Linked DNA regions of Rhinolophus ferrumequinum. The protein of the gene in region 1 purifies or fractionates together with the protein of each later gene. This does not show direct contact. Links are inferred from orthologs where the notes say so. Each region holds a gene or a part of one and is shown in the gene's direction. Other genes may lie near its edges.

Region 1 (6,384 bases):
GGCTGCCGGTTCAATTCCCACATGGGCCAGTGGGTTCTCAACCTCAAGGATGCCAGTTCAATTCCTCGACTCCTGCAAGGGATGGTGGGCTGTGCCCCCTGCAACTAGCAACAGCAACTGGACCTGGAGCTGAGCTGCGCCCTCCACAACTAAGACTGAAAGGACAACAACTTGAAGCTGAACGGCACCCTCCACAACTAAGATTGAAAGGACAACAACTTGACTTGGAAGAAAGTCCTGGAAGTACACACTGTTCCCCAATAAAGTCCTGTTCCCCTTCCCCAATAAAATCTTTTAAAAAAAATACCAGATGAATGAATTAATAAGCCAATAAAAAAAAAGTCATAGATGCTGTTTTAAAGGTTTCAGGAAGTTTAAGTTAGTTTGTAACTATGCCCCAATATTAACCAAAGGCCCCTTTATAAGTGGCTGTTGTAATTTCACAAATAGGATAGTAAGGTTTATGACTAGAATTTAAATATTTTGTGGCTATGTTATTAGGTGTACACAACCTTCTACTGAGAAGGTGAAAACCTATTGTTATGCGACCTTCTGTGTCTCCAGTAAACTTTGCCTATAAGATTTCTTTATTAATATATTAATAAAATTGTTAAGTGGCCACATCTGCTTCCTTTTGGTTAACATTTGTATAGTATGTTTCTTTCCATCCTCTTTCAAATTTCCTGCATTCTTATATTTCAAATGATTCTTGTCTTCTGTAAGCCACATAAAGTAAGATTATTTTTCACCAGCCTGACAATCCTGGTCATTTAGTCCCCCTGGATTTCGGACCTCTGGCCTGCAGACCTGTGAGGGAATAAATTTCTGTTGTGTTAAGCCACCAGTTTGTGGTAATTTGTTATGACAGCCCCAGAAAACTGACAGGTGAGCCCTAGGTTCTGTCAGTTTGCCTCCTTAATGCCTTTGTATTTAGTTCCTCCTGTCAAAAGCAGAAGGACAATTGGTGACATGGGATGAAGTAACTAACAGAAAGGGAAGATTCTAGTACTAAATGTCAGTATTAAGAAGTCAGGAAAAAAAAAAAAAAAGAAGTCAGGAGAGGGCTGGCCCGGTGGCTCACATGGTTGGAGCTCCGTGCTCCTAACAGCAAGGTCGCCGGTGGGCTGCCGTGTGCTGCCAGGAGCGGCCGGTGGCCACTGTGAGTGGCCAGCGTGAGTGGCTGGCTGGCAGCTGGCGAGAGCTGTTGTGAGCTGCTGTGAGCGGCGGATTGATGACTGACAACCGACTGCCTGAGCTGGGGGGAGCGCAAGGCTCATAATACCAGCAGGGGCCAAGGAGATGTGTCCTACACAACTAGACTGAGAAACAGCAGCTTGAATCCGAGTGCGCGGGGGAAGGCAGAAAAAGGGGGGGGGAAGAAGTCAGGAGACATAGAAACCATGTTTAATAATGGTCATCTGAGGGGGGTTGGAGGGATTTTAACATTCTGCATGTTCTTTTTTATTGTTTCAAAAAATGCTGGTGGTTTTCTTTTTATAATACCAACATTATTTATGCAAGGAATGAGTCAAGATATAAACTTAAAATAATAAAAAGAAGTTAAAAATCAGTTTGGTTTTTTCTTGTGTGTTAACAATTTTGGTGCCCTGTGAGTTTTTTTTGGGGGGGACATGGAATGGTCAAGATTCATATTCAGCGTTTTTTTTTTCCCAACTTGCAAGATGGCGGGTGAAAAAGCTGAGAAGCCGGACACTAAGGAGAAGAAACCTGAAGCCAAGCAGGCTGATGCTGGTGGCAGGGTTAAGAAGGCTAACCTCAAGGCCAAAACGCCTAAGGAGGGGAAGCCCCACTGCAGCCGAAACCCTGTCCTGGTCAGAGGAATCGGCAGCTATTCCCGCTCAGCTATGTATTCCCGAAAGTCCATGGACAAGAGGAAGTATTCATCAGCTAAAATGAGGATTGAAAAGAAAAAGGGGAAGGTTCTTGCTACTGTCACAAAACCAGTTGTTGGCGACAAGAATGGTGACACCTGAGTGGTTAAACTTCGCAAAATGCCTAGATACTGTCCTACTGAAGACATGCCTCGAAAGCCGCTGAGCCATGGCAAGAAGCCCTTCAGTCAGTAGGTGAGAAAACCTGGGGCTAGCATTGCTCCTGGGACCATTCTGGTCATCCTCACTGGGCACCATAGAGGCAAGAGGGTGGTTTTCCTGAAGCACCTGAGCAGTGGCTACGTGTGACTGGACCTCTGTCCCTCGATCGAGTTCCTCTGCGTAGAACACACCAGAAATCTGTCATTGCCACCTCCACCAAAATTGATATCAGTGGTGTGAAAATCCCCAAACATCTCACTGATGCTTACTTCAAGAAGAAGCTGCATAAGCCCAGACACCAGGATCTCCAACACAGAGTAAGAGAAATATGAGATTACAGAGCAGCGCAAAATTGATCAGAAAGCCGTGGACTCGCAAACTCGGCCAAAAGTCAAAGCTGTTCCTCAGCTCCAGGGCTACTTCCATTCTGTGTTTGCTCTCACAAATGGGGTTTATCCTCACAAACTGTTGTCTACATTAATTACGAAGAACCTAATTAAATGCCTGAACTGTTAAAAAAAAAGATTCATATTCAAAACATTTTGTTTTTTTCCACTTTTACTTTTTTATATTAGACTTTCTTTATTTATATCTAACTTATGCCTGTTATGTGCTATTTGTAATAGTAAAAATTGGGTAACAACCTAAATATTCAACAATGTGGGATGGTTAACTAAATTACATTCTACACAGTACTGTAATGGACTCATTATACTAAGGGGAACCATTAAATGGTTGCATTTTATGGAACCATTAAAACAACTAGCACAAAGTATCTATTAATATGGAAAGATGTTTATGATACACTGTTATGAATAAAGCAGGAGTATAAGGGTTTTTCAGTTTTGTTTTTTATTGAGGTGAAATTCATGTAACATACAGGTAACCATCTTAAATTACATAATTGAGTGGCATTTAGTATATTTACGATGCTGGGCAGCCATCACCCCTATCTAGTTCCAAAACATTTTTGACAGCCACAAAGGAGGCCTTATATTCATAAAACAGTCACTTTCCACCCCAACCCTCCCCTTGGCAACCACAATTTTTGGTCTCTGTGGATTCGCCTGTTCTGGACATTTCACATAAATAGAATCATACAGCATGTGGCCTTTTGTGTCTGGCTCCTTTCACTGAGCATAATGTTTTCCAGGTCCAAACATGTCGTAGGGGGTGTCAGGGCTTGGTTCCTTTTTATGGCTGCATAGTATTCCATTGTAAGGTTAGGCTGCATTTTGTTGATGCATCCATCTGTGGATGGATTTGGCTGTTTGTACAGCTTTTAACATTTGTGTATTGTGACCAGTGCTGCTATGAACATCTGTGCACAAATACTTGTTTGAACACCTGCTTTCAATTATTTGGGGTGTATATCTTGGAGTGGAATTGCTGGATCCTATGAAATTCTGTTTTATCTTTTTGAGGGACGACTAGACTGTTTTCCACAGCCATCATACCATTTTACACTCCCACCAGCAGCATGTGAGGACTCCAATTTCTCTACATTCTCATCAACACTTGTTATTGTTGTTCTTTTTTTTTTTTACTACAGTCTTGCTAGTGGGTGTGAGGTGGTGTCTCATTCCGGTTTTGATTTTCATTTTCCTAATGACTAATGATGTTGAGCATCTCTTCATGTTTGTTGGCCATTTGTATATTTCCTATGGAGGTATGTGTATTCAATTCCTTTGCCCAATTTTTGAGTTATATTTTTGTTGTTGAGTTGTAAGAATTCTTTATATACTATGAGTTACTAGACCCTTATCTGATATATGATTTGCAAATATTTTTTCCGATTTTTGGGATAGTCTTTTCACTTTCTCCATAATGTCCATGAGTTTTTTTGTAGAAAAGATACATCCCTTTCATTAAAAAAAAAAAAAAAAAAAAAACAGAAAAAACACCCAAGCTGAACAAATATTGTCCAAAACCAGTGGTAATTATCTCGGGGTAGTTTCGAGTGTCACTATTTTATGTTATTTCCCGAATACCCATGATCGTGCTTTCTAAGTTTACTAATTTTGCAAGTTGGTAAATGGAGAGTGAAACGCTCTAATCATTACTTCACGTTTCTATGACTTTTGTGAATCACATAAAGGACTTGGATATGTAGGGAGTTTCTGAACATACACGCCTGCGGGGGGGAACGGGGGCGGTTTCTATTTAGTATCCCTGGGCTCACCTCCTCCGCGTCTCTTACAGTTTTTCAGATTTGTTTCTGCTGTGGGGCTAGCCTTGGGAAACGGAAACTGAAACCGAAGAGGACTTCAAGGGCCAGTGAGACTGGCTCTCAGACACGGCGCCCCGCCCTCTGACGTGTGTAGCTCATGTTCAGAAAAAGGCTGGGCGGTTAGGGCCGGGAGGAGTTGCGAGCGGAGAGGCAGCAAGCTCATCACTACCTGTGGAGGACCTGGTGCCAGAGCCCACAGCCATGGTGAGGCGGGTTGACAGGTGGGGCAGGTGGGCTGGGCACTCGTCGACTTGTCTCCCCCTCCCCTTGGCAGGACCTGGGGGAGGGACAGAGCACCTACTGTGTGCCAGACCAGTGGAGCTGCAGAGCTCCGCAGTTTCCCAAGTGTGGTGCAGGGACAGGGCTCCCGACGTCAGGGTCTTGGTCTTGGAAGGTGGGTTCTGCCCAGTGGCCAACTCTGAGGTCCCTTGGGGGGCATCTTAGCTGAAGGGAGGCAAAGTGGTGGTCGTGGGCGGCTGGCCGTTCTTCCAGAGAGGACCCCCTTGTGCGTCTCCAGCGCCTGGGGTCCCTCTCTTGGTGGAGAGGACCCAGAAGAGGGAACAGCGTCCTGGAGCCTAGGGGCTTGCCCTGCGGCCAGTACATAGCGTGTAGAGGCCCGAGGACTGGTGCCAGGGTCTCTGAGCTCCGTGTGTTGCACAGATAGGGGAACTGAAGGTGAAGATGCTGAGTGGCAAGGATTTATTGGTGCCCCTGAGGGACTCCATGCTTACAGCGGACCTGAAGCAGCGGATCGCCCAGGAAACTGGCGTGCCTGCCTTCCAGCAACGCCTGATCTCCCAGTCGTCCGGTGCGGAGCTGCAGGACAGGGCTACCCTCATCGGGCAGGGTCTGAGCCCCGGCAGCACGGTCCTGCTGGTGGTGCTGAGCGACGACCCCCTGAGCATTCTGGTGAAGAACGAGAGGGGTCGCAGCAGAGCCTACGAGGTCCAGCGGACGCAGACGGTGGCTGAGCTCAAGCAGCAGGTGCACCAGCAGGAGGGCACGCCTGCCGACCAGTTCTGGCTGAGTTTCCAGGGGAAGCCCATGGAGGACCAGCACCAGCTGGGGGAGTATGACCTCAGGCCCCATTGCACCGTGTTGATGAACCTGCGCCTGCGCGGGGGCGGGACGGGGCCAGAAGGGCCACGCTGAGGTCCCCACCGAAGTTCCCACCCAGTGCTTTAATAAAAATTGATGCCAAGTTAATTGGCTGCCTCTGCGTCTGCCCTCGCCCTACTCCCAGCACTCTGGCATCTGCCAGTTCTCCATTCTGCACCCCTGCTACTGAGCTTGGGGGAGGGGAGGTGGAGGGAGTAGGGCAAGGGGACCCAGGGTCCTTGGGTGGTTACCAGGCTGGGCTACCAAGTAAGAAGCAGCCTGATGGGATCAAAATAGTGAATGCCCACCCTGGAGAAATTGAACATGTGTCCCCACACCTTTGGAAAACTAACTGCTAGAGAAAGAGAAAGAAGCACATATGGAAACCATCCCTGCCCCAGGTGGAGCCGTGGTCAGCCCCTGCACAAATGGTCCCCCTCCAACATCTGGGTCAGCAGACAGCACAGGGGAGGGAAGGTCTGGTCAGGTCCCAAAGGCCACAGGTGAGGTCCCGACGGGGACCAGCACCCCTGGAAGTGGTGAGGAAGTGAGTCCCTAAGACCTGCCTGGGGGTTGTGGGTGCAGTCTCCTGGCCCTCCAGGGCCCCAGCAGCCTGCCCTGTCCAGCCTGCATTGGTCTGGGGAGGGGTGAGGACAGGGCCTTGAACACACATCACCATCGGGGTGAGCTGGGGAACGCAGACTGTTCGGAACAAACACACCAGCCTTCAGGGTTTCATTTAAAGGAGGGACACTGGCCAGCAGGGGAGGGGCACCTGGAACGGAGGTTCCTCCAGCCCTTGTGGAAGAGCTTGTGGGGGGCACCTAATTTGGCACAAGCTACACCTGCTCCACACCAGATGCTTCCTTCTATACCAATTTACCAAAGGAGCCTAGGAGAGCCAGGCTTGAGTCAGCCTTGGAAACAGGAGAGACGGGGGTGACACAGAACATACACCTCTCTGGGCCAAAGCCCATGACTCTGGGGACACTCAGACCTCAG
Region 2 (7,714 bases), on another chromosome or scaffold:
TCTTCCCTTAGAGGGTGGAGGCAGAGCAAATACTTTCATTTATATTTTGCTTCTCTTTCTTTCTGGCAGGGTGTGGACTTCAGTGAAGGCCCCACCCTGCGGGAAAGATGCCACTGGGGAAGACATAAATTCATTTTGCAAGTCCTGGTTCTCCATCTCTATTCCCTTTGGAAAGCGGCTTCTAAATCTGGAACTTTCAGTCTTTGTTCTTTGATGTCCACTCATAGCAGAATCATGATATTATCATGATATCATCAGCATAACTATGATAATAACAGCAGTGTCAGCTCTGTCAGCAGATACTTACATGCTAAATGTGAGACAGACACATAGTTTTTCATTTATCAGAAACTCCCAGGAGGTATATTGCTAATGTCGGCTCCGGGTAAGGAAAGAGTCAGGGCAGCCCCAGGTCCCTGCTCCTTCTCAGGACTATTGCCTTTCTTAGCCCTTCCTTAGTATCCAGTCTCTGTCACTCTGTGACCTTAGTCATGTCACTACTTCTCTCAGCCTCTGTTTCCTTACCTGTTAAATGGGGATAATAACCACACCTCCTGACATGCCACTATAGCAGTGGACCCCACGATGCCAAGAAACTACAGAATGCTCGTTCACCTGGGACCCCAACAGAGCTGCGGGTCTGAAGAGTGGAGGTGGGTTTCACACATGAGGGATTTCCAAGGTCAGGACCCTGGTGAAAGCGTATGGGTCTCCAACTTATTAACTGGTTTATTTCAAGATCAAGCATATCTTCAATACCTGCACTGTCCAATTTCAGAGCCACCAGTCGCCAAAGGCAACTACTGAGCACCGGCAATGTGCCGAGTCTGAATTGTGATATGTTGTAAGAATGAAATACACATCAGACTTCAAAGTTGGCATATATATAAATGGATATATTGGGTAAGGTGACCAACTTATTTTGATTTGCCAGAGACATTCCTGGTTTTAGCACTAAAACAAAAGGCCTGTATCCCAGGAAACTCCTTAGTCCTGGACAAGCTGGGACAGTTAGTCAGTCACTTTACTTTTGGCTAAACTATATTATTATAATTAATTTTGCCTGTTTCTTTTTGTTTTTTAAATAATACTTAATAACTATTAAGTGTTGCTGGAAAGTTTAAAATTACAATGTGGCTCTCATTGTATTTCTATTGCACAGGGCCGGCTCTCTAGGTCTTAAACCCAGACCATAGCCTGCAAAGTGACACAGGCGAGTCTCTCTCCCCAGCAACTGATCGCAGGCAACAGTAACTAAACTTCAGCACAAAACAAGCACTGTGACTGCACAAGCTGGGAGTGTGAGGGGACTGAAGGATGGACATGCTTTTCCCAAGGTGGAGGAGAGAGATGAGAGCAGAGGGAAGTGTCTGAGCGAAGGCATGGAGGTGGGATCCGGGGAACTGTTATAGACACACACTTGCTTGAGTACAAGAACCCTTGCTGATCCTACTCAGATGGGCTGATTTGGCAATTTGTGCATCTTTGACAAGTAGGCTCACATGGCTTCAACCTGCCTACCAATGTTTAGCTTCAAATTCAGTTACTCTGTCCCTTGTGGATGTCTGCGCAGCGACTGTTGTCAGGTCCATGCTGATATGGAGGGGTTACGGCTCTACTTTTGTTTTTTTTTTTGTCAGTTTATTCTGACTGGGGTCTCTCAGGGCTATGGCAGGGTGGTGTCAATATCTGTGGGTAACAGACATGGAGGGGAGACATGGCTTCTTACAGAGAAGGATTGGAGTCTGGGAAAACGCAGTTAATTCCAGCTTTTTCAGGGGCTGGTTGTGAAGTCGGTTAATTTTGCCCGATTTCCAGCTAGATTTATTGAACATTTGTTGTGTGCCTGGCACACAGCTAGGAGTATTGCTTGCATTATCTAATAACCCTAGGAGTTGGCTTATCTCCATTATCACTATTGCCTAGATGAGAAAACTGAGGCTTGCAAAGGTAATTTGTGCAAGGGCACAAAGCCAGAACAGCCAGAATTCACACCCAAAATGCTCCTTGCAGAAATGCCTATCTTGAGTTTTAAGCCCTCATTTTTTATCAAATATTGATAAAGAGCCATCTGAACACCATTTCTTCTTCCTCTCCTTACCTCTGAAGCCACTGAGTACCCTCCTCCACCACGGTTTTTGAGTCTCCTTCTCCTCCCATAGATTGCTCTCCAGAGAACTCTTAGGTTTCTTCCTATTGAAGAAGCCTAAGAATTCTCTGGAGAGAATCACAGGACTCATCCTAAGACAGGGATTTCTCAGCTCAGAGTGAAGTGGATTGGATATTATATGCAGAACTTATTTAGTTATTTGTGTCAAAACCTGGTGAAAGCAGACATATTTTACAAGAAAGGGGAACCTTTGCACACTAACAGCTGCTGATTGAGCTGAGTTGATTACATTAGCTCCAGTCTCACCTAATAAGGAGGAGGTCCCTTTGGGAGGTATACACTTGGCCCATAAGTTTTGATGGATGAGTTTGGGTAGAGGGAAGCCTGAGATACAAGGAACCTTGGGTATAGGGGAAGCAAAAGTTACCAACAATGCCTCTAGTGAGACAAAGGTAATACCCAGGCTGGGAACAGCATGAGGGCCCTTAGACATTATGCAGACTTTGGAGTTACATCCAGGTTCAAATTGAGCTTTGTCTAGTCCTTACTAGTTGACCTCCAGCAAATCTCTTCCCTTAATCACTAAAGAGGGGAATGAGCCTTCAAATAGTTACTGTGTCCCTACCTTGGGCCAGGCAGGGCTAGGGCCAGGTAATACACTCTCTCCCCCAGGCTGTTCTGAGCGGTTTCCAGAGTGAGGTAATCGCTGTGAACAAAGCACTTCAGCATTGTGTACAAATGTCCTGTTACAGAATGTTACAATCATAAATCGCTGGCTTCTCCTGGGCAACTAACTGCTGGGCTGGAAGCCCTTAACCTCCATCTTGCACAGCCCCTCTTCCTCCAGGAAGCCTGCCTGCCTGATTCCCCTCACCAACCTTGGGTTAGGTGTCCCTTCTTGAGCCCAGGCATCCTGTGCTTCTCCTACAGGCCTGGAATCCAGTCCTGTTAGTGCTGTGTACCCTGAGCAAGTCATTTAACCTCAGTTAAACTCTTGTCATTTGGGGCCAACAGCAAAGAAACTGCTTAGCCCAGCTCTTGGCACAGGGGCAGAGCAGGTTCTCAGGAAATGCTAGCTGCTACCCTTCTAATTACTAAGCTGTTGACAGCAGAGGTCTGGCCTGGGTCTCCACTGTATCCCAGCACCTAGCACAGAACTTGGATGAGTACAGAGTAGGTGCTCATTACATGGTATCGGTAGGCGGAATAATGGTCCCCAAAGATGTTCACATCCTAATTTCCAGAACCGGAAATATTAATTTACATGGCAAAGGAGAATTAAGGTTGTAGATGGGATTAAGATTGCGACTCACTGATTTAAAAATATTCTGGATTAACTAACTGGGCCCAATGTAATCACAAGGATTCTTAAAAGAATTAGAGGAAGATGTGACCATGGAGAACCAGAAGATGACAGTGTGAGAAAGACTCAGCCCAATGTGACTGGCTTTGAAGAATAGAGGAAGAAGCCACAGCCAAGGAATGTGGGAAGCTTCTAGAAGCTGGGAAAGGCAAGGAAATGGATTCTTCCCTAGAGCCTCCAGAAAGGAATGCATCCTGCCAAACCTTGATTTTAGCTTAGTGAGACCTGAGAGGGACATCTAAGCTACAGAACTGCACGATAATACATTTGTGTGTGTGTGTGGTTTTTTTTTAAGACAAAGTTTTGGTAAGTGTTACAGCATCATTAGGAAACTAATATACATGCAAATTACTGTTCATTTCTATAACTACAACTAAGCTGTTTGTGACAGTTGATTTTTACTTTTCTCTCCCATTAGTATATGAACTTCTCAAGGTTAAGGAATAAGTTTGTCTTATTTACCATTGGTTCACAAGCTCAAGGAGGGCCTGGCACACAGCAGACACTAAATAAATGCGATGACTGATAATATATATAATCATTCATATGAGTTAAATTACTATGAATAGTAAACTGTCTGTTTCCTTCACGGTGTCCTCCAGTGCCTAATACAGTGCCTGGCACACAGCAGGAGCTCAGAAAAACCAAAAACCAAAAAATCCTATAGGTGGACGAAGTACCCTCTCTGCAGGCCCCTTTCCCACGACCCACGCTGCCGTCCATGCCCATTCTCTCCAGTTCCCTACTTTTGCACGTCCCTTCACTTCAGGCCCCGGTGACCTTTTCCTTAAGCAGCCGGATGTCTCCCCCCTAGTTTGCTTTACCCGAGGCGGTGAGCAGAGAGCGCTGATTCCCAGGACGCCTTGAAGGCAGTAGGAAGCAGTGGCCTCTTTGGGCTGCAGGGGGCGACCGTGGCCCGGGAACTCCCGCCGGAGGGTTGGGACGGGGCGGGGCTTCGGGGGCGGGTCGGCTCAGTGCGCAGGCGCGGGGCCAGACGCCTCGCGCGGTCAGGGACAGGCGGCCACAGAACAACCGCGGTCGCGGCTCCTGTAGCAGCGAGTTCGAGTCCCACTGCCCCTCCGCTTTGGTTCTCACTCCCTCGGTCCTAGGGCCTCCCCACGCCAGTCTCCGGCCGCTCGCTGCGCATTGCGCACCCCCCGCCGCCAGGATGCCGGTAACCGAGAAGGACCTGGCGGAGGACGCGCCGTGGAAGAAGATACAGCAGAACACGTTCACGCGTTGGTGCAACGAGCACCTCAAGTGCGTGAACAAACGCATCGGGAACCTGCAGACCGACCTGAGCGATGGGTTGCGGCTCATCGCTCTGCTCGAGGTGCTCAGCCAGAAGCGCATGTACCGCAAGTACCACCAGCGGCCCACCTTCCGCCAGATGCAGCTCGAGAACGTGTCGGTGGCGCTCGAGTTCCTGGACCGTGAGAGCATCAAGCTTGTGTCCATCGGTGAGTGCCCTGGCCCAGCCAGGCGCGGGCGGGTGTACCGTCCCGGGGCCGTGCCTGCGCCCCTGGGGAAGGCGGGGGCTGCCTGCCGCGCGCCCCCATCTCGTCCAGTCGGGGGCTGGGTGGGAGCGCTGAGGCCTGGGGACGTGGTCCCCGGGGGTGAGGTGGGGACATAGGAGAACTAGATCCCCTCCCAGGTGCCAACCCCTGGGCTGCGACCTCGAGTGATAGCTCCGGACCGTGTGCCCAGCAGCGCGTCTCTGGAGCTATGTGGGTGGAAGGCTGGAGTTGGGACCGCACGGGGAGAAGTGGGTCTGTGGCATTTCTTTGCACCTGGGGTGCCCCTGCGGGAGCTGGGGAATTGGGAATCTCCGGTCCGCTGTCCTCGCGGTGGGACCCTAGTCCAGGGCTCCGGGAGCGCTCGACTCGCGGCGCCCAGGCTGGTGCGCTCGGCGGCCGCCTAATGGGCGTTGGCTCAGGCCGGAGGAGGGGACTCGGGGCGGGGGGACGGTTCTCTGAGCCTGGGGCCTCCCCGCCCAGGTGGATACCAGGACCTGGTACCCTCCCCCGCCGTCTCCGGAATGGGTGTGGGCCTGGAGGTGGGAAGGGGAGCCGCGGGGGTGTGTCCTCGCTCCCGGGGCTCCCAGCTCTGTTCTGGCCCGGCGCCGCAGGATGAGCCCGCTCGCACCGCTGAAGTTAGAATTTAGAGGTGATGGTGGTAATGGAACTGCTGCCTTGTAGGAGCCCAAACTAGTGGGCACTGTGTGCCAACAACCTTCTAGGTATCTCAATCTGTACACATCCCCCGAGTTGGGATTTTGTTACACCCATTTTACAGACAAGTGTTCCAGAAGTTTAAATGACCGGCCCAAGGTCATGGAAGTAGAGAGGGTCCAGCTGAGAATTGAAGGAAATGGGTGACAATTAAAGGAGACTTTGCCTTCCTCTCTCCGCCCTCCCCACACCAGGGTCTTCCTGAGAGGAGGGAGGGAGTTGGTGTTGGGTTCCTCTCCCTCTGCGCTGGGGAGGAAGAATGAGGGTGAGGTCCTCACTATGCCCCAGGCTAGTGGAGGGCTTCCACGAGGGTCACAGACAAGGCTGCTGAAGGTGTGCGCTGTCACACACAGCTTGTATGTGTGCAGAGAGAGTCTGTGCACACAGCGTGGGTGTGCCTACATTGTGTGTGGGTTCTGCCAGGTGAACCTCTTGCCAGAGAGGAGCTGGCTCAGGCCTGGGTCTGGGGTCTCTTCCGGAGGAAACCAGACCTTATAGTGACCCCAGGGCAGGAAGAAAGGGCGGTGGGTGTGGCTGCTGGGACTTTTCTCCAGCAGCAAAGGGGTTCCCTCTAGGCTGAGTCTCCTCTGGCCTCTCCCTCGCCTTCCCCCACACCTGTCCTAGCAAGTAGGGCTGCTTCCTGGGCCCAAGCAGCTGCCTCCGCCCAGCCAGCCTCCCCATGCAGGGTGGCTTCTCTGCAAAGGGAAGCTGTGCAGCATGCTGTCGTCTTCTTTTGGGAGCCCTTCTCCTATAACTCGGGAAGGAGAACCTCAGAATTCTGGAATTCTTTCCTTTTCAGAAACCAGCTTCCTTTTGAGGAATCTCAAGGCCTTGCTGGGCTCAACTTGGATCCCTTCTTCTTTGTTTTAAAACTGTGTATTTATTTAATTAGGTGAACAAAGAAACTTAAAGTAAACCAGGAGTATCCAAACATGACATGAAATATCTTTAAAAAACAAAACAAAACAAACAAAAAAAACCCCAAACCACAGCACCAGAAAATCGTGGACTGCCTAATTTACCAGCTGTTTACAGAGGCTGCAGCTGCTTCCAGCTTCCCATCAGTGCCCTAAACTTGGGGGTCTCATTCCAGACTTTGGCCCCTTACAGTTTTGTAACCCTCATGATTTTCATTCCTGAACCCACCCAGGCTAGAGTATCCTCTATTATCCTGGCATTCCAAGGTTTACCTCCCCCTTCCCTGTGGGCTCTTGGCAGCTTCTTGCTGTGGACCTCTTCCCACCACAAGTTACATTGTTTTATTTTATTTTCTCCTTTTAAATTATTTCTTGGATTGTATTCCCCGAAGTGGCATTCCTGGGTCAAAGGGCGTGACCACAATTATGATTCCTGTCATTGGCTGCCTAGTTGCTCTCCAGAAAGGTCTCCAGTGAACCGGTTTTCCAGCCCTTGGAGACCTGAGGGAGATGTGCCAAGTGCCAGGATTCCTGTGGGGGCGATGCCTGAGGCCTCTTCCCTCTGCTTCTGGGGCTGTTCTGGGTAATGGCTCTTCAGAAAAAAGTCACATCCCGCTGGGACTTCAGTTCAGGTAGTCACTGTTTATGCTGTGCTGTGTTGTGCTGTTGGTGACACTAACTCCAATGTGGAGGCATGTTAAATGTGTTCTATTGGTCACCCCATTGGTCACCACCTTGAATCCTGGAGTGGTTTCCTTGTCTATGTAACAATCTGCTTTAACAAATCCCCGGGAGGCTGAAGCGCTTGCCCCAGTCCTGGCCAAGTGCTTAGAAAATCGTGGTTGCTGTTATCACTGCGATTGCTGTTAGTATTATCTGTATTTAAAGACAGGGAAACAGGAGTGAAGTAGCTTTTGGAAGTCACCCAGCTAGTAAATGGTGACTAGAACCCGGGTCTGCCCAGCCGTTGAAATTGAGCCTTCAGTCATCTGCCTGCCAGTGTCAGAAATGAGTAAAATACAGTCCCTCGCCCCTGAACACAGAGCCCTTGTCACCCTGTTTTTAAGTGGGATGTTGGGATAATGGCTGGACA
Region 3 (8,076 bases), on another chromosome or scaffold:
GAACCAGGTGGGCAATTTTCTGCAGAAAGCAAGTGACACGACTGAGAAGCATATGAGAAATCAATAGGACTTAAGAGAGGCAGGTGATGGGGGGCGGGGGGAAGAAGAAAGGTGATGGGATTGTCTGAAAAGAAACTTGGGTAGGACACACCAGGTGGGAAGAAATGGGGAACAGTTCAGGATGGATAGGTTGAGTATGCAGCCACAGGGGGAGTTATGCAGCTACTGCAGCCCAAGCATATGGAATGCCAACAGTTCTCTTGGGAACCTGAAAGGGTGGCCCACAGAGGCTGGGAAATGAGCCTTGCTTTCAGAGTTCCTGTTCCAGTCAGGCTTCTGGCCAAATGTCTTGAGTCCTACCCTCTGGAATCCTGTTACCACTGGGAACTGGCCCAGAGAAAGAAATACCCCTTCCATCTACTTTTGTAAAAACATTTTGGAATCAATGATGGCCTCTGCAGAATGCCTCCAGTGGCACTTATAGGCTCCGTGGGTAAGCTAAGATTCAAAAGTGCTTTGCAAAGCATAAAGCACTAAACCAAGGTAAGCCTGATTACTCTGACTCTTCCGGATCTCATCTTTCTCCAAGCCTTCCACCTCGAGACAGAGCTCCTACCGGTATGACCCTGGATGACCCAGCTCTGATCCTGTGTACAGGCTGGCGATCTGTAACAGACTGTAAGTACTCAGATGTTTACATTGAAGTCACAAATATGAGGCAGCAGGCGTTCCTTGCTTTTTTAAAAAATCAATGTGCAATGTTTTCTTCCTCCTCCACCTATTTCCTCCCTGAGTCAGTGTTCATGAACCCTTTTCTCACAGATACTTGTCTTGATCGCCCACGAAACAGTTTTCCTATGCTGCAAGAAACAAGAGTACTTGCAAACAAATACTTCTGCCTGATCGCTATTGCTCATGAATTGAACAGGGCTTCTATTAAAGGTGACTGATCTACCATTTTCCAAATTGATCAACTCTGTGTTGTCTCTGCCAAGCGTGAGACAGTCTGTGAAAAACAGCTCTGTTATCCTCCAGGAATTCAAGTTGAAAAGTTTAGGGATGAATATAAAGATCCTGTGCTTTCTGTAATCATTTACGTAAGGATCATGAGTCAATGTCAGCCATTCTCAAACAGGCGTTTATTTTCAGCCTGCAGTCGTTGATTCATTCCCTTGACAGCTATTTTTTGGGAGCAGGCCCTGCACTCAAGCTCCAGGGATACAGTGACAACTGAGATGGAAGAGATCCATGACTCTGAGGAGCTCAAGTATTAATGTCCTAAGATATTATCTGCAGGGTAAATAGCACTTTTGCATCTGTTATTATAGGGCCAAAGTAGCAAACCCGGAATATTAGGGGGTAAGAGGTGGAGAAGTAACAGGAGGCAGTAAAATAATGTTCTGAGCAATAAGAGAGTCGCATAGAACAGGACTCCTGTAATGCCTCCAATGCAGCTTTCTTGCTTTCTCTTTCCCTATATCATAATTAAAAGCCACCTTGTACTATGAGTCCAGGAGGAGAGACTGAAAGAAACATGGCTGAGAGCGAGGCCTGATGAAGAGCTGAAGAAGACTGATTAGCTGAGTTCTGCCTCACACTGTTCAGCTTAGTGAATCTATATGGTCACTATAATTTATTCAACACCATGAACCAGCATCTTTTGGCTGAGTTTTGAGTGTATAATATCATTCTTGATGTGTTGAAAGAACTCTGAATACCTCTTAGAATGTTGACATTAGTAAGTTGGATTCTTATTTTACATTTTGAATAGGTTCAAAATCCAGAAGGTACAAGACTATAGAGTGAAAAATCTTCCTTTTACCTGTTCTCCCGCCCAGCAACCCTCCCCTGAAGAAATCGATTCAATTAGTTTTGTGGATATCCTTATTTGGTCTGTATTTCATGGGTATCGTAATGAGGATTCTTAACCAGCTTTTCTAAATTGCGAATAAACGTCATCTCAGCCCTGTGGCAACTTGTCCTTCTAGAATATATCCTGTTCTACAAGACTTTCATGAATCAGAAGTTCAGATTTTGTTTTCCTGATGAGTATAGTGTGAGCTGCTCCTAAGGAGGAAAAATGAATGGGAATACTGTCAAGTTTTAAAAATCTGGTTTTCTAAGGAAAACTATATCTGGTTCTGTCAAGATTACAAAAATAATAGCCTTTGCTAAGTGCTACGTCATCTTCTAAGCTACATGTATAATTGAAACTTCACAACAATCACAATAAAGTAAGTATATTTTATAGGTGAAGAAAACAAAGGATGGGCAAATTTCAGATCTGGCCTGGGGCTCCAAACCCCACAGTCTTTTTTTTTTTTTTTTATTTTTTATTGGGGAATATTGGAGAACAGTGTGTTTTTCCAGGACCCATCAGCTCCAAGTCAAGTTGTTTTCAATCTAGTTGTGGAGGGTGCAGCTCACTGGCCCATGTGGGAATCGAACCAGCGACATTGGTGTTATGAGCACTGGGGCTCTAACCAACTGAGCCAACTGGCCACCCCACACTCTTAATCTGTATGATACTCACTATCCATTCTGATAGAGAATAGCAAGAAGAAGGCAGATGGCAACATTTTTTGTTTATACATTTTGTTCTTCTTTATTCAAAATCTTTTGTTCTCAAATTTTAGGACCCACCAAAATTACTCACAATGTTTAAATGCAGATACCCAAGCCTCAGCATTGACCTAGAGAATTAGAATTTCTGGAGGGAGGGAGCTGGCAATGCTTATTTCAACCAGCACTCAGAATCATAGGCAGGTGACTCTCAAGCAGGTGGTTTGTAAGCATACACTGACAAATGTCGTACCTGTAACAACAGTTTGTTTTCCAAAGTTGGCCACAACCATATCTCCCATCACACACGCACACACACTGACAGTTTCTAGACTCTTGCCACTCCCCAAGAGGTGGAGTCCATGTCCTGTACCTTTGAAACTGGGTGGACTTTTGTGACTTAGTTGACCAACAGATTATGGTGGGAGTGATGCTATGAGACTTCCAAGGCTAGGCCAAAAAAGATGATTTAGCTTCTGCTTCTGCTGTTGCTAGCTAGAACACTCACTCTCGGAACTCAGCCACCACGCAGTGAGGAAGCCCCATCTGCCCCAAGGAGAGACCCACTTGGAGAGGAACTAACAGCCAGCACCAACTTGGCAGCTATGAGCCTCCTTGGAAGTGGATCTGGCCGCAGTAAGACTGCCCACACTGATGTAGCATGGAGCAGAGATGAGCCTTCCCTGGCCAAATTGCATATTCAAGAGCTAAATAAATGATGGTTGTCATTTTTAGCACTAAGTTTGAGTTGGTTTGTTAGGCAAAAATAGATAACTGCAAGAGCACACTTCTAACCCAATATTCACTCTGCCAGTCTTCCTACCAGGGTGAATTCTCCTGGGCCCTCTCTAGAATATTCTGAAAGTTTCCTTGTCCAGCGTTATTTATTTTCTCAGATTCTTTTAATCACAGAACCGCTCGCTTCAGACTTCTGGTTATTTTAAGTTCTCATTATTCCCTCTGAAGCTTCATTTCTCATCTAAAGAGCGCTAGTAATAGGAAAGCCTACCTTACACGCTTTATGATTGAGATAATCCATGTCACCATTTAGCGTTGTGCCCCGCACATAATGTTTTCTCTTATTATTCTTACAAGTTTCTTGCATCCATGTTCTTTATTTAATGCACTGTTTTTTCCTTATAGCTCAATGCCATTTCACAAGCTATTTCCCATGCCTGGCATGCTCTACCCGACCACGTCAGTTAGATTCTGACCTCATTCTTTAGGATTCCCCTTCTCCTCTGTGAAGCCTTCTCTGATTTCTCAAACAATTAATGCCTCTCTGCGCTCAAACAGCACCTTGGAAGAATCTCTGGTATAGCCCTTAACACACTGGATTGTAATTAATTGTTTACATGTCTTTCTTCTCCACCGGACTCTTAAATTCCTGCAAGGCAGGGTCAGTTTCATTGTATTCTCATCCCCTAACATAGCACCTGGCACATCTTCATTCATTCACTATGTCTGTATTCGGGTGCTAAGGAAACACCGTAGTTAAGCAGTTAAGGGGTCCATGTTTTGGCAGGCCTGCCTGGGAGTTAACAGCTCCACTTTCTCCTGCATAACCTTGTAAAAAGTTAGTTAACGTCTCTGGGTCTCCCTCTCAAGATTGCCGTGAAGATGAAGTAAAATAGTATCTGCAAAAAACCATCGCATAGCAAAGCAGTCATCAGGCTGTCGCAAAACGCTTCCCCAACAATCTCATTTTCAGGCACCGCCACTCTAATCTTCATTTAGGATCCCTGCACTTTGTGGGTAATCCTTGTCAGGGATTACGCTGGGCTCTCTAATCCTCTCTTTGGACTTTCCTCGAGCTAGCTAGTTACTCTGCGTCACAACCACCAGGTCCAGGCGTTCAGAAACCATTCTTCCCTGGTTTCTCCCTCAGCTATCTGCAAACTCTTCTTTTAGCCTTCTCCGAGTGTAAGGAGTGTGTCAAATAGGCCCGATTTAGGCGACATTTAAACATCAAAACTCTCTGGCTAGAGTTTCCCTGGATAACTTGCGAGACCCAAGTTATCACAGTTGGGAGCTTTGCCACCGAGGTTTGGTCTTCCCCTCCCTTTGAGCAGGAGCAAGCGGATCAACTAGATCGCAGTCGTCCACCGCTGCGCCAGCGCACAAGGCAGGAACGTAGAATGAAGAAATGAACGAATGAATGAATGAGCTACATCGGCAGCCGGGCCTCTGTTACGTCTCCACCGGCGCGGGCGTGGCCGTGGACATCAGGCCCGCCGGGTGTGGGCAGCCCAGTCCCACCGTCGCGCGGCAGGATCACTCACCAGCGCCGGAGATCGGCGCCGCCCCACGCCACCTCCCCCAAGTCCCTGCCCCGCCGCTGCGCGTCACTTCCGCCACCTCCAGGCCGGGGCTGGGGCGGGGTGTGTGTGGGGGGGCCAGGTCCGAGGGAAGCCGGCCCGCGGCCGAGCAGGGACTACATTTCCCAAGGGGCCACGCTGGTGGCGGCGGCGGCGGCGGCGGGCGCGGCAACGTCCCCCGGAAGTGGAGCCCGGGACTTCCACTCGTGCGTGAGGCAAGCGGAGCCGGAGTCGAGACCAGAGGCCGAACTCGGGATCTGACAAGATGGCCGGGCTGCCCCGTAGGATCATCAAGGTAACCTCCCACGCCCGCCTCTGCTCCCTGCTCTGGTCTTTCCTTCTTGGCGGATCGGGCGGCGTGGCCGCTCGCTTCCTCCGGCCCGCGGCCCGCGTTGGGAGGCCCGAGGCTGCACGGAGAGGGTCTGACCGCGGCGGCGAGGGAAGTCGGGCGCTGGGGAGGGGGCGCCGGGGAGACTTCCGGCCGCGGTGAGACAGCCCTGCGGCGGGGACCCGGGGCTTCCAGGCGGCCCCCTACGAATGGGTTCAACCTGGCCTGCGCCCTGGTGGAGGGTGGGGTTGCGGGGTTCTGGTCTGGGGTGCGGGCCTCCGCGGTCTCTCGGACCACCCCCGAACAGAGGCCGCGGGCGCGCGGGAATCGCGGCGGGGCCCGGACTTTAGGCGGAGGTTGTGGCCAGACACGGCCTCTTGGTGTCGGATCCCCCACTCGGCCCGTGAGGAAGCGCAGGGGTGCGGCAGCCCCAGGTTCAGAATGAATGAACCGGGAGGGTGAGGCCGGGCCAGGCCCTGTGCCCCGGGAGGGCCGCGCGTGCTGCCGCCGGCGGCACATGCTCGCTCCTGGCAGTCGGGGTCCGGGGACCTGGGGGCTCCGCACCCGATTGTTCCAGCTTCGGCGATTTCCTCTCCTTTAAATATGTTTCCACTCGTTATCTCTGCGAAGTGATTTTACTCTGGTTTGCAAACTGAAGAGCTGTTTCTGTTCAGAGGAAATAGTTTAACACAAGACTTGGGGTGGGGGGCGCAAGTATAGGGGTCCTTGTGAAATCTTTTGCTTTTCGATTTTGTGCCCTTTAATTATTAGACCGTTCTTTGACTCTATTAATGCTATACTTTGACAAGCATGTATGGAATCATGAAAAATTTGGCATCTTTGTTTTGTAAAGTCTTTATATAATATCAAGTCCTCAGATGTGAAATGTGTCTTGCAATTTACAAAACAAAACCTTGACATTTTTGGTCAGTTTAAATGAAGGAAGTGAGATGCATCTCTGTTGCTCAATATGCGAGTTCAGGTGACTAACTTGCAGCATCATTTTGCTTGATATAACCTGGTGAACATGTATTTAATGTAGTTTGTTTTAAAAGTTTGGGCGAGATGCGTGCTAAGTGAAAGACCTGTTGAAAGATGATGAAATGTAGTGCTTTGTGCAATCGCAATTAAATATATGAGATGGGGGGTGTCTCTGATCTAAAGATGCTTGATTTAGAGAACAATAGGACGTTTTATAAGGTAGAAATTCTTAGAAGTCAGAGTAGGACGAATTGTCATTGTGTGCTGGAGTGTAATAATGTGAACCTTCATAGTGCAAAATTTGTTGTACTGTTTTATGGATTTGTCTCGGACTCTGTCCAAGGCAGTTTAATTGCTGTATGCATTGGAAGGTCCTTACAGTGTGGTTTTAGTTATAATGCAGTCACATGGCTCCAATGGTCAGGTTTATTGAGGCTCTCGTTGAAAATGAGGGGTGGAAGAGCTGTACAATAAATATCCTTGAATTATTATTTACTGTTATTTAGGTTATAGACTAAGTACATAATACAAATTGACATTCAAGATAATCTCCAAAATACATACTGAACTAAAGACTTAACAAATATTTTTCCATTTTTGCTTGATTCTGCAGATATTCTGCAGTAACATGAAAGCCTTGGATGAAAATTAGTTCCGTGGAACCTTGTTCATAAACTTACAAAAATGATTTAAGGCAGTTAGTTGAAGTCCTCATAATTCAGTTAATTCGCACACAGTAATTTACACTAGGTATTTACATTTTACTATTTAAACCAAGAAAGTGATAACTCAGTTTTAATTTTACAGTATCCTGTTGATAGCGTCTTTCTAATGAAAGTTGCTGTGATTTTGGATTTTACCTTGTAAACAGGTAGGTGGTTAATACTATTATAGCTTAAAAGAATTGTTTTCTCCAATTCCTAGGAAGAATTAAAAGATAAAAGTGTTTTTTCTAGTGCCCATGCTTGTATTATGTAGGTTTTTTCCATAATCAGTGAAAATATCTATTTTTTTAATATCATAATTGGAACTAAAAGTTTGCCTCTTCTCTGACAATCTCAGCACGAAGTTCTGTGTGGAATATCGTGGTGGTGGTTGCTCTACTGTCCTGAATGACAGGAATGTACTGTCTTTCACTGGATATTTATTAATAAGGTGCTATCTCAGAATAGTCATTATTCACATTTGCAAAATTCTTCAACCATTTGATACCTGCAGGAATCCTGAGAAGTAGACAATATGTTTTATAGTCTAGAAACCCATTGAAATGACTTTCCTAGGGTCTTAAAACTGGCAAGAGGAAGAACTTGGACCTTGGCTCACTGTGACATTCCCCAGCCTCTTGTTATTATGAAATGAAATAATCTATGTGTAAAAATACCTTGAGACCTGTAACAATTATACAAATAAAAGATGATTTTTTGAACTACTCTTCATCCAGTTGGATTCCCATTTCAATCCAGTAGCAAATTTTCTAGACTCTACTTTCAAAATGTATCCTAAAGCAGATACATTTCACCATCTCTCTTAAATCATTGTTTTGTTCCCTCCTTTGTTGCCTGAGCTACTGTATTAGTTTCCTTTTAAGCTGCAGCTGGTGTTACTTTTTTAAAAAATAGGGCATGTCTTTCCTTTGCTTAGAACTCTACAAAGGTTCTCCATCACACTTCGAATAAAATCTTGACTTTTTTCCCCTCCCTAGCTACAAGTCCTTCTTGCATCTGGGATCTCCCTACCTCAGGTTATCCCCTGCATTTCTCTCCTTGGGTTGCTCCGCTGCAGCAGCCACCCTATTGCTTTGCTGTACGCTAAACACTGGAACCTTGCTTGTTCCGGTCACCGAGCTTTCACCCTGTTTATTGCATTGCTTTGTGATATTACTCAGTT
Region 4 (6,624 bases), on another chromosome or scaffold:
CACACCCCCAGTTTGGGTGTCCCAGCTGGCATCCCCCACCCCCAGCCTCCCTGAGATGCTCTCGGAAGCCCCCTGGCCTCTCACCAGCCTTTCTCAGCTGAGGGTGTATTCAGCAACTCAATCGTAACACCAGACACGTGCCCTTCCTTCTCCAGGCCCCCCCTCCACCTGAGAAAGGCTCTCAGGACATGAGATATGAGGGTGCTTCAGCTACAGGGCCTCCCACCTTCGGGGGTGCCACACCTCCATGTCCTCCCTCAACCCTTCCCTCTACTCACCTTATATACACCCCCTCCGGCAGCACTAGATGGCAGAGCGGGCAGTGTAGGGGACCTGGGGGGTGGTGGGGGAGTGGAGGAGAAACTGTTGATTCATTGTGCTGGAAGGAGTCTTAGGGAACATCCAGTCCAATGGTCTCATTGTACAGATGAAGAAAATGAGTCACGGGAGCCGGCTGCTGGCCAAGGTCAGAGTGAGAGACATGCAGGTCCCCAGGCTCCCAAGCTGACAGATTGTTTCTGATGGACAGAGGAGTGGGAGGGGCTAGAGGATGGGTCTCCTCCCACCTGGCCCTTCCTTGGCACTCCATCCTGTGATGGAGGTGAGGTAATCCCAAGGCCAGCCAGAAGCCAGAGGCCTACGGGGTGGGCAGGCTGGAAATGGGTTTTTGGAATAGATTCCTAGAGGGACAGTGTCTAGACGTTTCCAGAAAGACCTAGTGCCCCCCACCCCCATGCGCTCTAATTACTGCTGCCCACATTTTCAGTTCCCAGCAGGCCCAGCAACCAGCACAATCCGTCAGCTGTCAGGCTTCTCCAGGGAGTTCCTGCAGCTGCCTGAAGACTCTCGAACTTTCTCTGGGGCTGAGCCAGGAAAGGAGGGCCTGGCTCAGCCACAGTTGGCAAAAGCCAACCAAGGGTGTGACTAGTGTGGCCAAGTGCCAGGCTGGGAGGCTGTTCTTGCCAGGCTGGGCTGCAGAGTACCTCAGACTTTGGGGCTAGGGATGAGGGGAGGGGCCCCTGATTAAGGAATCCCAGACCCCGCACTGCCCACTTCCCCTCACCACTCACCCTGCCACCCCCACCCCTGTGGCTTCCGGGAAATCCCTGGGGGTGGAGTCAGTTTCCTCTTCACCCCAGAGAAACTACCCCAGGCAGCTAGAGCAGAAGATTGTCAAAGAACATTTGGGCAGGTGGGCAAGTGTGGGGCTGATATCCAGCCCTTGCTCCTCTTGCCAAGCCCTATGGCTGGTTTCAGGGTGCAACCTCCTAGAGAAAAGGCACCTGGTCTGAAAGGACCCCAGAGAGTCTGGCCCAACCCTCCCTGTCCCGACAGGCAACACCTCACCCTGCACCGAGAAGCCCACAGCCCACAGGCCTCCCTGGACTGCCTGGGAAGTCTCCCCCACCGGACAGAGGATCAGGAGGCCTGAATTCCAATCCTCCCCACCCCCTGACCAGCTTTGCCACCTTGGGCAGTTCTGACCCTCAGTTTTCTCATCTCAGTAATGGGACTCTAATAAGATACCTGGATACGCTAGAAAGTTCATACAACTGCATAATTCTCATTAATCTACGTTTCGATATCCAAAAGTAAAAGCCCTCTTCCATTAATAATGATTAATACTTAATGAGCACCAGGCACTTCATGTGCTTAGCTGTGTTTGGGATTCACCACAACCCTGCAAGATGGGCGCGTTTTTGGCCACGTTTTGCAGCTGGGGACATGTAGGCTCAGAGAGGTCACCAGGCCAGTGAACAGCAGCACCCAGATTCAAGTCCATCCTTGTCTGACCTCAAAACCCAGTTTCTCCCACACCCCACCCCCTCTTACCATGACCCAGAGCCACCCATGTCTCCTTTGTTGTTACTGGCAGGGTGCCCTAGAGTCTCTCGAGAACTGGCCATTTGAAGATGGATGTGAATTCTCTGTTCTGTGTCCCCCACCTGCCGTGGGCAGAGGGATGGAGTTATTGCACAACTTCCCTGGCTGGGGCAGTAGGATGGATCCTACCTGCCTGGTGTCAGGCAAGATGAAGGGAGCTTGTGCCTACAAGCCCTGGCAACCAGCCAGGCAGCCTCCACCCAGAGCGTGGCTGGGCCTGGCAGGGCCACACTTGAAAGCATCCATGACCACACCTGCCAGCTCCTTCTAGGGTGGGGCACCTGCACTCCAGTCTGAGCCAAGGTGGGCAGGCAGGGGCGGTGAGGGCCCTCCCGGCTCCTGAGCTCATCCTGACTTTATAGAGGTGAGGACGGGTGGGGCTGGGAACGCCAGGGACCAAAGACCTGGGGCTTTCTGAAGCTGAGACCCTTGGGGGGCAGCCAGGAGCTCCCAGCTGAGACCTACTGATCCAGCAAGGGAAATGGGGCAGAGGTGTCTGCCCCAGGGGTGTCTGCCTCCCACCCCTGGCCCAAGAGAACCCCAGGTGCTCAGAGGCTTTTCCAGAGGTGACATCAGATTCATGGTCCAGCCCCAACTCTTTCCTCATGGGGTGCAGGTGAGTAAGAAGGAAGGCATCCAGGAGCTCTCTCTTGAAGAGGAAATTGAGGCTCAGAGAGGGCATGAGACTTGTTGTTACCCCCAATTCATTGAGGTGAGCGGCCTGGGGTCTAGCTTCCAGCCCCTCAGATGTCCTGAGCAGGGCAAAGCCCCTGCAGCACTGACAGAGTATAGCCTCAGCCCCAGAAAGGGGCAGCAACATGGTGGGTCTCAGAAAGAGAGAAGGCAGGGAAACACCAAGATAGGAGCCCCTGAGGGTAAGAGCCCCAAGCACTAGAGAGGCAAGAGGCTTACTGTGCTGCTGTCTTACAGGAGATAGTGGCCAGTCACTCTGAACCTGTTTCTTCATCTAAAAAGGAAGGATAATAGGACATGGCAGCAGAAGGAAGGCTGGACCAGGATCATGCCTGTGAAGGAAGGAAAGAGGGGACGTTAGGATTATGGCAGGAGCTTAGGGACACCACCCTCTCCAAGCAATGGAAGATGGAGACCTGGATCCCATAGAGGGTCAGATAGGAGGGGTCAAGGGGCAGGCCCCAGGCTCTAAGCAAGAGTGAGCAAACTGTACCACCTGGAGCCCCCTCTCCCTTTGTGCTGTGGGAATAAAAAACAAAAGGGGTTTTGAGATCATGATCTGCAAAAAGGAAAACTGAGGCCTAGAGAAAGGACGGGCCTTGCCCCAAATCACACAGTAAGTCAGTGACAAACCTCAGAGTAGATTCAAGGTTGCTGCATTTCAGGCTTCCTGTCCTCAAGGAAAAATAGATATAATGCGGAGACTGACAATAACCTTCCTCCTCACCTCTTCTCAGCACTAGGACCCAGGTTCTCATCTGGGCCAGCCCCACTGCTGAGGGCAGGGGGGAAATGGCCAGACCCACACATACCACGTTTCCCGGAAAATAAGACCTAGCCGGACCATCAGCTCTCATGCGTCCTTTGGAGCAAAAATTAATATAAGACCCAGTCTTATTTTAATATAATATAAGACCGGGTCTTAATATAAGACCAGGAATATAATAATATATAACATAACATAATGTAATATTAAAACAATACCGGGTCTTATATTAATTTTTGCTCCAAAAGAAGCATTAGAGCTGATGGTCCAGCTAGGTCTTATTTTCGGGAAAACACGGTACCACCGCCTCTGCAATAGGGATGGGTACACATCCTCCTTCTTCCTCCCTCTCTTCAATTCCAGGTAGATAATAACAATAATTATCATGTACCAGGCCCTGGGCTAAAGTCTATGCTTGCATTAAGTCACGTAATCCTCACACCAGCCCAATGGTGTAAGCATTATTATCATCATCCATTTTCTCCATTTTCTAGATGGGGAAACTGAGGCACACAGAGTCTAACTTGCACAAGTTCTTCCAAGTAGTGGCAGAACCAGGATGTGAACCCAGGCAGTCTGGCTCCAGAGCCTACACACCTAAAACCACACCAGACTGCTTCTTAAAACGTAATTTTACAGGGAGTGCCCTTCTAGTTGCTAGATGAGATGCTGCCCCATTCCTGAAGTGCTTAATTAAAGCCACTTAGATCTTAAAAAAAAAAAAAAAAGACATTATTTTACAGACACCCTGTGGTTCAAATGCTGGCTCTGCCACTTCCTAGTTGTGTGGCCTCTCTCAGCTTTGTCCTCCCCGACACAAGAATGGGACTCTCCTCAGCCCGCGGGCCAGCGCTTTAGCGCCCAGGCCTGTCGGGCAGTGGTCACTGTATCAATATCGGTGCTCCAGTCATTTGTTTGGTTATTTGAACGAGAAGGTTCCAGACGTGGGAAGTCTTCCTTGCCCCGCCCCTGCGCCGGTATGCAGGGGGAGGGGCTGCCCCCAACCCGTCATTGCCATTAATAGAGACCTGAAGCACCGCCTGCTAAAAATACCCGGCTGGAGCCCCATAAAAGCGCTTCTTGCTCCAACGCCCGGCACTTCTCCGAGCCTCAGCCAGACGCGCAGATCCGATCCAGCATGGCAGAGCGTCGCGTGCCCTTCTCGCTCCTGCGGAGCTCAAGCTGGGACCCTTTCCGCGACTGGTTCCCGCCCCACAGCCGCCTTTTCGATCAGTCGTTCGGGATGCCGCGGTTGCCCGACGAGGTGTCGCTCTGGTTGGGCCACAGCGGCTGGCCGGGCTACGTGCGCCCGGTGCTGCCGGCCGCCGCCGAGGGCTCCTCGGCAGTGGCCACGCCCGCCTACAGCCGCGCGCTCAGCCAGCAGCTCAGCAGCGGCGTCTCGGAGATTCGGCACACGGCCGACCGCTGGCGCGTGTCCCTGGACGTCAACCACTTCGCCCCCGAGGAGCTGACTGTCAAGACCAAGGACGGTGTGGTGGAAATCACCGGTGAGCCCCCGGCCCTTCGGGCACGGAGCGGGCGGGGCGGGGCGGGGCGGGGAGCGGAGCCCGAGCAGCGAAAAATTAAGCTTCCTGGCCCTGCCCCAGGCCTGTGTCCCCTTCTCTAGAATTGAGTTAGCGGATAGCTCCCAAGGGACCTTTCGGTCCTAAAAACGCCCCATTAAGGGAAGAAATGCCCCCCTTTCAGTTAAGACCCCCAACCTACAGATGACCAAGTTTCCCTGCGCTCACCCACTCCCGGGCCTGCGGTGGCTGTGAAGAGAATTTTGTCTTCCAGCGCTGTCCCCGCCCCTACACCGGGTCCGTGGAGGGGGCGTGTGCGCACGCCCGGCACTGCATCCACCACCCCCAAGTCCTAAACAGAACTCCAGAAGCTTCTGAGGACAGCCCCCGACCCCAAATCCCTCCACCAGTCGGGATCTGCCTTGAGTCCAGGCCGCCAGGTGGGGCGTGTTGGGCTGCGGGCTGGCCCCTCCCTCACCTCTGACCGCCTTCCCTCCGCAGGCAAGCACGAAGAAAGACAGGATGAGCATGGCTACATTTCACGGTGCTTCACTCGAAAGTACACGTGAGTCCTGCGCCCAGTGGTGGGGAGTGGGAGGGGGCCACAGTGACTTACCTGTGTGTGACTCTGGTCCTCCCTCTCTGCATGTCCAGGCTGCCCCCTGGTGTGGACCCCACCCTGGTCTCCTCCTCCCTGTCCCCTGAGGGCACGCTCACCGTGGAGGCCCCGATGCCCAAGCCAGCCACCCAGTCAGCAGAGATCACCATTCCGGTCACCTTCGAGGCTCGTGCCCAGATCGGGGGTCCAGAAGCTGGAAAGTCGGAGCAGCCTGGAGCCAAGTAAAGGCCTTGGCCCTGCTTCGAACCCCCCATTAGCCATCACTGACCATCCCTACCTGTCAGCCTGAATGCTCTTTTGATACCTTTATGTTGTTTTTCTCAAATAAAGTTCAAAGCAACTGCCTGCCACTGCCTCAGACCCTCGTGTGTGTAGAGGCCTAGGGGTTGGCACCGTCGCCTGGCTGACATTCCTTGCTGTGTGCAAAGCCTCATGCTGGGCCCTGTGGGTACAATGATGCCCATTACAGGGTATAGCCCTGCCCTCTGGCCCCTTGTCCATTAAGATAGAAGTAATGATTGTAACCAGCAATTAAAACTCCAAGGGGCAGGTGTGGGAGCTGGGGAAACCAGGAGAGGTTCCTGGCCCAGGACTGGGTACTCAGGGATTCCTAGGCTGGGGTCAGGTGAAGGGGGACAGAGCAGGGCCAGGGGAGGGGAGCTGCCTGGGAGCTCAGGGTCCCTTACTGACCTCGTCATTACTTTATTGTCCTCCCAGAGAGGGACAGGACCATGTAGATGGTATGGGAGGTATGGCAACTTCAGATGACTAAGCGGGGTGGGCCTCGTCAAAGGACCCATCCCCTGATGCCCATGCAGGATGGGCCTGGGCTCTCAGGCTGAGGATGCCCTGCAGACAGTGAGGGCAGAATGGCCTAGGTTTTGGTGGAAGAGAGGCAAAGACCCTGACGACGACGACGGTTGTCGCTCCAAGAGGGCCTGCCTTAACTGGCCCAGGCCGGAGCAGTCACACCTACCTTGGCCCTCTCCTTTGTCTGCCCTCACCCAAGCCACCCTCCTCATACCCAGCCCAAGGAGGGTTCAGAGAGAACTGGGGAGGGAGAAAGCAGATGGGGGCTTTAGAGCCCAGTGTCAGGTACCCAAGAACTTGAGAGACCCCACACTGTCTCTATAGACAAG

What was found.
Region 2: the proteins of ISG15 (region 1) and FLNB purify together in Homo sapiens (affinity purification with mass spectrometry; 3 studies listed by BioGRID and IntAct, with this or other methods). This does not show direct contact. The link is inferred for Rhinolophus ferrumequinum from reciprocal best matches to the Homo sapiens genes ISG15 and FLNB.
Region 3: the proteins of ISG15 (region 1) and UBE2N purify together in Homo sapiens (affinity purification with western blotting; 3 studies listed by BioGRID, with this or other methods). This does not show direct contact. The link is inferred for Rhinolophus ferrumequinum from reciprocal best matches to the Homo sapiens genes ISG15 and UBE2N.
Region 4: the proteins of ISG15 (region 1) and HSPB1 purify together in Homo sapiens (affinity purification with mass spectrometry; 3 studies listed by BioGRID, with this or other methods). This does not show direct contact. The link is inferred for Rhinolophus ferrumequinum from reciprocal best matches to the Homo sapiens genes ISG15 and HSPB1.

Annotation. Positions count from the first base shown.
Region 1 is NC_046292.1:228,279-234,662, forward strand, and holds ISG15 (ubiquitin-like protein ISG15), read left to right. Parts: upstream 1-4,349; 5' UTR 4,350-4,485; coding exon 4,486-4,488; intron 4,489-4,944; coding exon 4,945-5,436; 3' UTR 5,437-5,510; downstream 5,511-6,384.
Region 2 is NC_046300.1:52,667,219-52,674,932, forward strand, and holds the start of FLNB (filamin-B), read left to right. Parts: upstream 1-4,503; 5' UTR 4,504-4,641; coding exon 4,642-4,933; intron 4,934-7,714. UniProt on the Homo sapiens protein: Connects cell membrane constituents to the actin cytoskeleton. May promote orthogonal branching of actin filaments and links actin filaments to membrane glycoproteins. Anchors various transmembrane proteins to the actin cytoskeleton.
Region 3 is NC_046293.1:84,615,694-84,623,769, reverse strand, and holds the start of UBE2N (ubiquitin-conjugating enzyme E2 N), read left to right. Parts: upstream 1-5,141; 5' UTR 5,142-5,145; coding exon 5,146-5,175; intron 5,176-8,076. Other genes in the region: COPII coat assembly protein SEC16-like, read left to right, coding at 4,725-5,141. UniProt on the Homo sapiens protein: The UBE2V1-UBE2N and UBE2V2-UBE2N heterodimers catalyze the synthesis of non-canonical 'Lys-63'-linked polyubiquitin chains. This type of polyubiquitination does not lead to protein degradation by the proteasome.
Region 4 is NC_046290.1:92,474,039-92,480,662, reverse strand, and holds HSPB1 (heat shock protein beta-1), read left to right. Parts: upstream 1-4,392; 5' UTR 4,393-4,481; coding exon 4,482-4,851; intron 4,852-5,367; coding exon 5,368-5,431; intron 5,432-5,520; coding exon 5,521-5,710; 3' UTR 5,711-5,832; downstream 5,833-6,624. UniProt on the Homo sapiens protein: Small heat shock protein which functions as a molecular chaperone probably maintaining denatured proteins in a folding-competent state. Plays a role in stress resistance and actin organization.